2 linked regions of the Xenopus tropicalis genome follow. The protein of the gene in region 1 interacts with the protein of each later gene in a biochemical or structural test. Links are inferred from orthologs where the notes say so. Each region holds a gene or a part of one and is shown on either strand. Other genes may lie near its edges.

Evidence for each region.
Region 2: the proteins of pdzd2 (region 1) and pkp4 form a complex in vitro, tested with the Homo sapiens proteins (2 studies listed by BioGRID and IntAct, with this or other methods). The link is inferred for Xenopus tropicalis from reciprocal best matches to the Homo sapiens genes PDZD2 and PKP4.

What each region holds. Positions count from the first base shown.
Region 1 is NC_030677.2:200,908,352-200,912,172, forward strand, and holds part of pdzd2 (PDZ domain-containing protein 2), read left to right. Parts: coding exon 1-78; intron 79-1,262; coding exon 1,263-1,407; intron 1,408-2,806; coding exon 2,807-3,821.
Region 2 is NC_030685.2:73,687,565-73,692,050, reverse strand, and holds the start of pkp4 (plakophilin-4), read left to right. Parts: upstream 1-1,671; 5' UTR 1,672-1,852; intron 1,853-4,486. UniProt on the Homo sapiens protein: Plays a role as a regulator of Rho activity during cytokinesis. May play a role in junctional plaques.

The sequences.
Region 1 (3,821 bases):
GGGCTGGACCTGGAGATTAAAGAAAGTCCTTTATCTGTTATAATAACCGGGTTACGGCCGGCCAGAGAAGGGGAAAAGGTATGTGCACTCTCCTAGGGTTCTGTTGCCACCTCCAATATCTTTGTTAATTAATGGGAAAGTTGACTTTTCCTAAGTAATGTTTATCTTCCATTTATTTTCCACCTAAACAAGGAAAAGTTTAGATGAGGTTATTTTGTAGGCTGCCAGTAAAGAGAACAGGGGTAAGTGCTGTCATTGTGACTATATGGGCATTCTGCATTCTGACCCAGCCAAGGCAAGTTATACTCATTAATACATATATACCACTCCTTAAATCAATAGATACATGTGGTTTTCAGCAGGGCAGGAGGATATCATATTCAGTTTCCCATGGTGAGCAAACAATTCTTATTACTTGACAGATTCCCTTTTAAAACCGGACCTTGTATGCGATGGTGTCTGTGCTGTATAATGAACCAAGATAAACAACATCCCCCCAAGTACTTTAACATCTAATGGTGTGCGCACAGGATGGAAAGTGGTTGAGGGGAGGGGGGAATGCTTTCTTAATAAAGGTGCATTTTAAGTATTTAATGGGCTCTGTCTACCCTTGGTCCCCTCTCCCCTACAGTCTGTTCCTTTGTTTTTACACCACCCTAGCAGCGGCATTTGTTTGAATGCCAGGATGAAGTATGGATTGGAAGAGAGGTAATTTAGAAAAAGAAAAGCTGCAGTAACAGTCTATCCCATAATCAGTCTGCTCTCTGACAAGGAAGATGCAAACTAGAAAGGCATATAATTCAGAAACCGGACATAGAAGACAACAGTGAAGTTCTCATAACTTTCCCTTTACCTCCCAAGAGGGTATTAGTGGTATCACTTCTACTGAGCTCCCTCTTTGTACTTACATATTTCTTTATATTAAAGCTCAATATAAAGGTTACCGTCCCCTTTAACTGACATTGGGGGAAACATTTTTTACGAAGGAGTCAGCCCTACAATCATGTTTGGATTAAAAGCTCGTTATATTGCTTAAGAAAACCACAATTTAGCTCTTAAATGTATCTGCCGGCAGCTCAGCTTATCCTACGACACCATTACAGCCCCTCGTCCCCTATGTGCATATTGTATTTCTTACTGTGATTGCCTTTATAAATACTTATTTCTCTGGAACTGTATGAATGGTGCATGTTCTGCCCTTTGCTCCGGCTGGGACATGAGCTGCAGCCAATGGAACTGATTTATAACTGTCATTTTGTTAGGATTCTGTGGGAAAGTTAGCGGCTGGCGATGAGATTATATCGATTAATGGCATTCAAGTGAGCGAGATGTCCTACCAGCAAACTTGTGATTTTATCCAGTGCTTGCCTTCATCCGTTACACTGGGAGTGCGGAAGCCGCTGTCAGGTAATGGTACAATGCTGCCGGGCTCATTCCTTTCAGACTCTGGGCCTGTTTCACTGCCTCATTCTGCCCCTGGGAAAATCCTGGTTAAAGGCTTCATACACACGGATGGTTTCTGTGCTTTATATATAAGTTCAAGGTGCTCTGCATTTGAGGGTATCTTGAACGCACCCTACAAGGGGCCTATATATATAATACTGCACCTCCCATCTTAATAAATCACAACAGCCATCAGATGCTTGCTGACAGTTGGATATTAGACCTGGACAAAACTGTGTAGGTGAATGGAAGACCTTGGGAATACCCTTGTTTTATGAAGCAAGAAAGCCATAGCAATGTCTCTTTTTATTATCCATAAATGGTCTATATAACTGTTCTCTTATTCACAGATAATAAAGCATTGAGTCAAACTAGGCTTCTTTAATTAGAATTAGTGCTCTCGACTGCTGTAGCAGATCCTACAATACTTACTATCTAGGTTCCCCTGTTGCAGTTTTCCTCTAAGCTAGCTAGGGTTCCCCAACCGTTTTTTACTTGTGAGCTGCACTCGGATTGAATTTTATTGAATTTCAACTGTCCGGTGAAGGCAATGAATAGGCTTGTATAAAGCGAAAACCGCTGTTCTTGACCAGAGTTTGTGAGCAGGTAGAGGGCTTGAGCAGACAGACTGATAGAATGGCTCTATAAGGCCAGATAGTGTGTCTCACCCCAGACTTACAGTGGTGAATACTGCACCAGCAATTCCACTGTGATACACTCTGATAGTTGGGGGAGACCTAAGCGTGCAGGTTATGGCTGTAGCTACAGGGGATAGTGATGGATATCCTGAAAGACTATGTGAAGGACGTTAAAGAGGCTGAAGAATATGATTGATATGGCCTTTTTCTTTAGCAACAGAGTACTGGCCAGATGTGAAACCAAGGTAACACTTGTATACTGTGTGTCTTTCCCATGAAGACTCGCACACAGTGCAGAAAATGTACAACCTGATACATATTGACAATAAGGTTGTACCAGCCTTTGGGTTTGGGTGGGGAAATAGGTGACTAGGCAGGGGTATGGGGCAGGGAGATGGGCAGGGCAGATGTTGGGCTAAACGGGCATGGAGAAAGTCAGCTGATCTCTGAGGGAGCACACAGCCCATCACTAAATGGCGGCTCAAGGGAAAATATTCAAAATAGCAATATTTAATGATATATATATTCAAATTTGGTAAGATTATTCAATAGACCACTTAATAAGATAAACTATCTGTTAGTATTGATTGTAGAGGTATAGTTTTACTTTAACATTGTTATGATTGCTACAAGGCCTCATTGAAAGAATCCATGGCATAAAGGTTTAATGTATTTGAATGTTCAGTTGCTGTTTTTTAATACTGGATTACATGTTTTTCTCACAGCTGTTGATAGGCTGTCACACATCATCATGGCCTCAGGAGGAGACCAGCAAGGACCTGTGGAACAAGTGGAGATCCTCAGGCAGGAGAACAGCCAGTGTAAAGGGCCCCAGCACACAGCAGATTGCTCGACTCCAGCCAAAGTGACTATTGAAGCAGGGAATTCACTGACAATCCAGTGCCTGGAAGCAGGAAATGACAGCACCGTCACTAATATTGATGATTTTATTAATGAGCTTGATTTTTCTGGAGCTCCTTCATGTGACTTTGCTAAAGATTCCAACACCACAGAGGAAATGGAAGCTTGTGTGGCCTCGGGACAAGGGAACCGTGTCGATGCAGAAACAGAAGAAGCCAAGACAGAGCTGTGTAGCAGCATTACAAATTTCGATGAAAGCACAAGCCAGTCGGAGAACATTTTGGCATTTTCTGTTTTGGACTCCCTGTCGATGGAAAAAAAATTTGCAGTGGACAAAAGCTGCCTAAGTAGTTATTCCCGCAATTTCAGCAGCTTGACCGAGGAGGATTTCTCATTGTCAGACCAAATTTTAAGCAGTTCGCTCGACCTGCCCATCTCTATGTACGTAACGGCAGAGGATTCCGACTCGGAGTCGTTTCTTGATTCTACAAGCGACATGATCTCCTCCCTTCAGAACCAGTCTTGTATGTCAGAACTACAAACCGCCACAGATTCTGAGGAGGAGCAAATTGAAATTTGTTGCGATATTAAGAAAGGAGACAGTGGAGCACATCAGTTCTATGACGTGCACCAACTGTACCCAGCAGCAACCTTAAGTGAAACCCCAAAAGATTTGCCAGATGAGAGGTGTGGTGGGAACACTCTTCCTGGTTTTGGTCATTATACTTCAGTAGATCGGGTAACCGTGGAAAACATAGTCAATAGTGGTCATCCAGATGCTTCACCTACCATGTCTTTGTTAAACAATGACTCTCAGGAATTACCTTGCCGCAGTGAAATAAGTTTAAATGACTACAGTGCCTTACAAGTGCAAGATCC
Region 2 (4,486 bases), on another chromosome or scaffold:
ACTTGGGGGTGCTTAACATTTTAGCACCCCCAAGTGATATTGCCTTTCCTTCTCCTTTAAGATGGGTGATATTGAGCTGATCTGATCAGGAATGCAGGCTGTTGGGATGAGGACCACACCAAGGAGCCAATACAGACCACCCCAATGAGATTTTTAAACCTGCCCTATTTTAGATATTGGCCCCATACATGGCAGGTAAACTGCTGCCTCGGTCAAAAGGGGCCAAATCAGCAGCCTAATTCTGCCTGTGTATGGCCACCTTTACACCTGTGGGCACCTCCCATGGGGGGCCCAGGATGGTCTCCTCTTAGAAAATTTCCTGCTATTTTCCCGTGCAAATTTAAATACAAATTGTATGTGAATATTTTTCCTATTTATGAAAATATGAGTTTGGTTTAGTCGCCTATGATAGATCTCTGCTATAGCGGGCGCCTAAACACTCCGAAAGCTCTTTGCGTGTCTTTGGTATTACGAAGTTGCGTGAAGTTTCCTCCTTCAGGCAACTCTGCGCGACTTCGGAAAGCTGAAGCGATGCATCGGCCTTTACACCAGCGACTCCTTTTGTTGTCGGTGGAAAGGCATCTCCTGCAGTAGCCTAAGGGTAAGAACCCACAGAGCGGTTTAGTCGCTCACGATAGTTCTTCGCTATTATGGGTGACGGCGCGATTTGCGGAAATCGCTGAAGTTGCCTCGAGAGGCAACTTCGGAGATCGCACCGCCGCGTATGCCATCCCACCGGCAATTTACTTTTTCACCGGTGGGATGTCATATCGGGGAGATTAGTCACCCGCAACAAGGGAGATTAGTCACCCGCAACAAGGGAGATTAGTCACCCGCAACAAGGGAGATTAGTCACCCGCAACAAGGGAGATTAGTCACCCGCAACAAGGGAGATTAGTCACCCGCAACAAGGGAGATTAGTCACCCGCAACAAGGGAGATTAGTCACCCGCAACAAGGGAGATTTGTCGCGGGCGACTAATCTCCCCGTGTACCAGAGCCCTAAAGCAGTAAAACTTATTTGGTGGCGGAAACCATAAAAACCCTTTATCAGAGCTGTCCTGAGTTTCCAGCATTCAAAACAATTCAATTTTCACATTTTTGTTATGTCAGAATAAGTCTTCATAGGATGATAATGACTGAAAATTCTCAAAATGTTTTTAACCATTTCATTAGGGGAAATATCTATACAAATAAAAGTAAACTGTATAAAAAACACATTTTTTTCTCTTATACTAACAAAAATTAGCTGAGAATCCGAATTTTACCCAGTGAAACTGAAAGGGCCACCCCGGGCAAAGGATGCTGGAAGTTGTAGTTCCATAAGAAATAGAGAGCTGCCGGTTTAATAAATGGAGACTATTACTAGGACGGAGGGAGTTGGGGATGTGGATTAAGTGACAATGTAAAAGCACAATGTTGCCAGCATCTCACCTTCAGATCGTTCTGTGCCGATAATAATTCCAGCCCTCCTTTCCCGCATTAATGGTACATCCCGAGCAGAGTATCGTGACTGACCAAAACCTTCCACGCCCCTTTCAGTCAACAGCATCGGTAACCAAGGCAACGGCAGGCCAGCGAGCGATTGGTGAATTTGGAACCCAGGGGCAGGTCAATAGGTAAGATGGGCGGGGCCTCGGTCGGCCAATCGAAGCGAGATTGCGCTGTGACGCGGAAAGCCCCGGAGCCCGGCGCTGGCTCGGTGTGCTGGGGAGAGGGCGGCAGGGTTCGGGCACCGCGCCATGGAGACCGGGTAGGGGACAGCACGTCTGGGAGTTATACTGCGCCTTGGGAACGGGACCGTGCAGTCCCTCATGAGGCGGACGGACCCTCGGGGAGGCTTGAGCCGGCAGGTAAGTGCGTTTTGCTACGGGACCACTGGCGGTGCTCGCATGATACGTCCCGGAGTCGGGACCCCAAGCTGCTTGGTGTTGGGTGGGGGCAAGTTTAGACGCATTCCTGCTAATGGAGTAAAGAGCCGCTCTGCATCAACTTCCCACCTGGCCATGCACTCCGGCATCTCCCACCTGTGGCTCTTCCGGGCGCTGTCAGGGCATTCTGGGAGTTGTAGTTCATTAATAGGTGGATGATCCCTGATATGTTCTAGTCTACACTTCCAACATCCCATATTGCTTGATTTTCCCATCCAGCCTTTTGCATTGGCACCCAGCATCCTCCTATCTCTACATTTCTATTTTATTTTCAGCCAATGCCAAACTGCCCCTGTGGAATGGGCACCCTGCACCCCCACTACCTTACACCCTATTACTGTAATGAAAAGGATGCAGTTCCCTAGCACTCTCTTTTGTTCATGGACACCCAGCTCCCTGGCATTATCTGATGGCAGTCATGCTCTTATATGCACCACATGGGCATCTAGACTTCCCTCCCATGCCCTAGCCTTGTATGCCGAGTCATATGTTGGTGCCAAGTGAGCTTGCAATCTTTTGAAAGCCTTTGAATTACTTACTGAACATGCAACTTAATGCTTCCTGCTTTTGCCTCTGCAACTAATACTGTCTGTATTGTATGGGCTGGAGGGAATGTAGTAACTGATACCAGTCATGTTGCTATCCTTCCTGTTGCCTATGATTGCAAGCTCATGTGGTTCTTAAAGTGACAAGTCATCCGCGTACATGAGGAACAACAGTGTGTCTATTGCTTGGCATTGTATTTTGCTGTAACTGTACTGTATGTGGGTTTGTGCCTTGTGTACTTGCCTTCTCTCTTTATGAGACACATAATAGAGTTAGTGCAACAGGCAGTACACGCCGAGGGGTTCCTTCTCTATAGTGACAATTTGTGATATTTTATAGCACTTCACTTGCCCTTGGGCAAGAGACTTAAAGCATTTGGCCAGTGAGCAACCTAATAGTCTGTAATAAAACTGCAACAGAATAACAATGGCAGAATCGCAAGTGTGAACAAGCCCTGAGGTTAGACATGAGCAGACTCGGCACACATTGCAACTTTACTTTTGACCTTTGGTGGATTTGTGGGTTGGTTTCTAATATTCTGATATATTGTTTCCATCTTGGTCAGCCAAGGAGCCCCAATGTTTGGGACCTCACTTGTTGATCTAACACTTCCAGCATTCCCTGTGTATTGGAGGGCTGTCGGTTTCCCATCCTTTATTTGATTATTATACTTCTGGCTTTAAATGAAGACTGTACCATAGAGCTTGTACTACATTAAGAGGGGATTTATGCAGACTCTTTCAGAGTAATGAAAGGTTCTGTGTCTCTGTAGGATATGGGTCTCTTTGGATCACTATAGAAATAATTGTATTTTAGCTGTTGCTGTATAATATTATGTGGGGGATCTAAGTGCCGTACTAAATGCGGTTTGACTTACACGGGCAACTGCAGGGATGCTCATGCTGCTGGTTCTGCATACAGAGCTTCGAGTGTCGGCGTAGCCATCCTTGCAGTGCCGAGAGGGATAGACCTGGTGCTGTTCCCAGCAGATGACTAGGCAGGTGGGTACGTTGGATTAGGAATGCCAGGAATGCATAGGGAAATCCAGCTGCTGCAACTGTGGTCAGTGTGCACTGCCTTTAACCCCTGTTTATTGCAGCTCTATTTACCATATCATTGCTATCACAGGAAAGCAATCTGGCCCCAAAGTGGGGGAGCAGGTCACACTGATATTGTATGCAAAAAGGCAGGGTTTCCTCCTAGCAGCCTTCATGCACATTGTTGTTCAGCTTTTTCCACTATCCATCCATCTGCTGAAGGTGACCTTCTCTTCTCGCAGGTAAAGGGTTAACTAGCTCAGAGGGTGCAGTTTCCCACTGCCTCTCCTCAAGTATCACATCAGCGGCTGATTCATTCTTGTACACAGAGACGGCTTGGCAACAAATTCAGTGCTGGCCTGGGCAGCACTCATGCACATTCAGCTTGCTCGGTTATTCTCATGTTCAGGCACCTGGGAGTGCATCCTACCACATTGTATCGTTTTTATACCTATTATTGCCATATGTTACTTTAAAATAGCCAGTGTTGGCAAACTCTGCGCCTTGAGTTGTACAACAGAATATGTCTCATGGTAATGTTTTTGAAAATAAAGGGGAAGTTAACCTTTTGGTGTAACGTTATCCAAGCAGTTAGTCATTTTTCCCCCTTTTTAAAGATTTGCATTTCCTTTAACTGTGTAGACAGATTATTGGCCTTGTATTCTAACATGGGTCACTTGGCAGATTACAATTTAAAGGGATAATATATATATCCAAGCAAAATAAATAGAGCTTAAGATGAAACTAAAATTCTGCCATTTTTTTAAATTTAATAAAAATGCATGTTTCTTTGTTAATATAAATCTGCAAAGAGGCATTTATTATACTTTGACACTTTGCTCCATATGTAATAAAAGGCACTAAGGTTGCCGTGGTGCAGTAATCCATAGCAACCAATAAGATGTCTGTAAACAGGTATCCTGTAAATTCTTTCTGCTGACTTGTTGCATTAGGTTACTAGACCTGGGCAAAC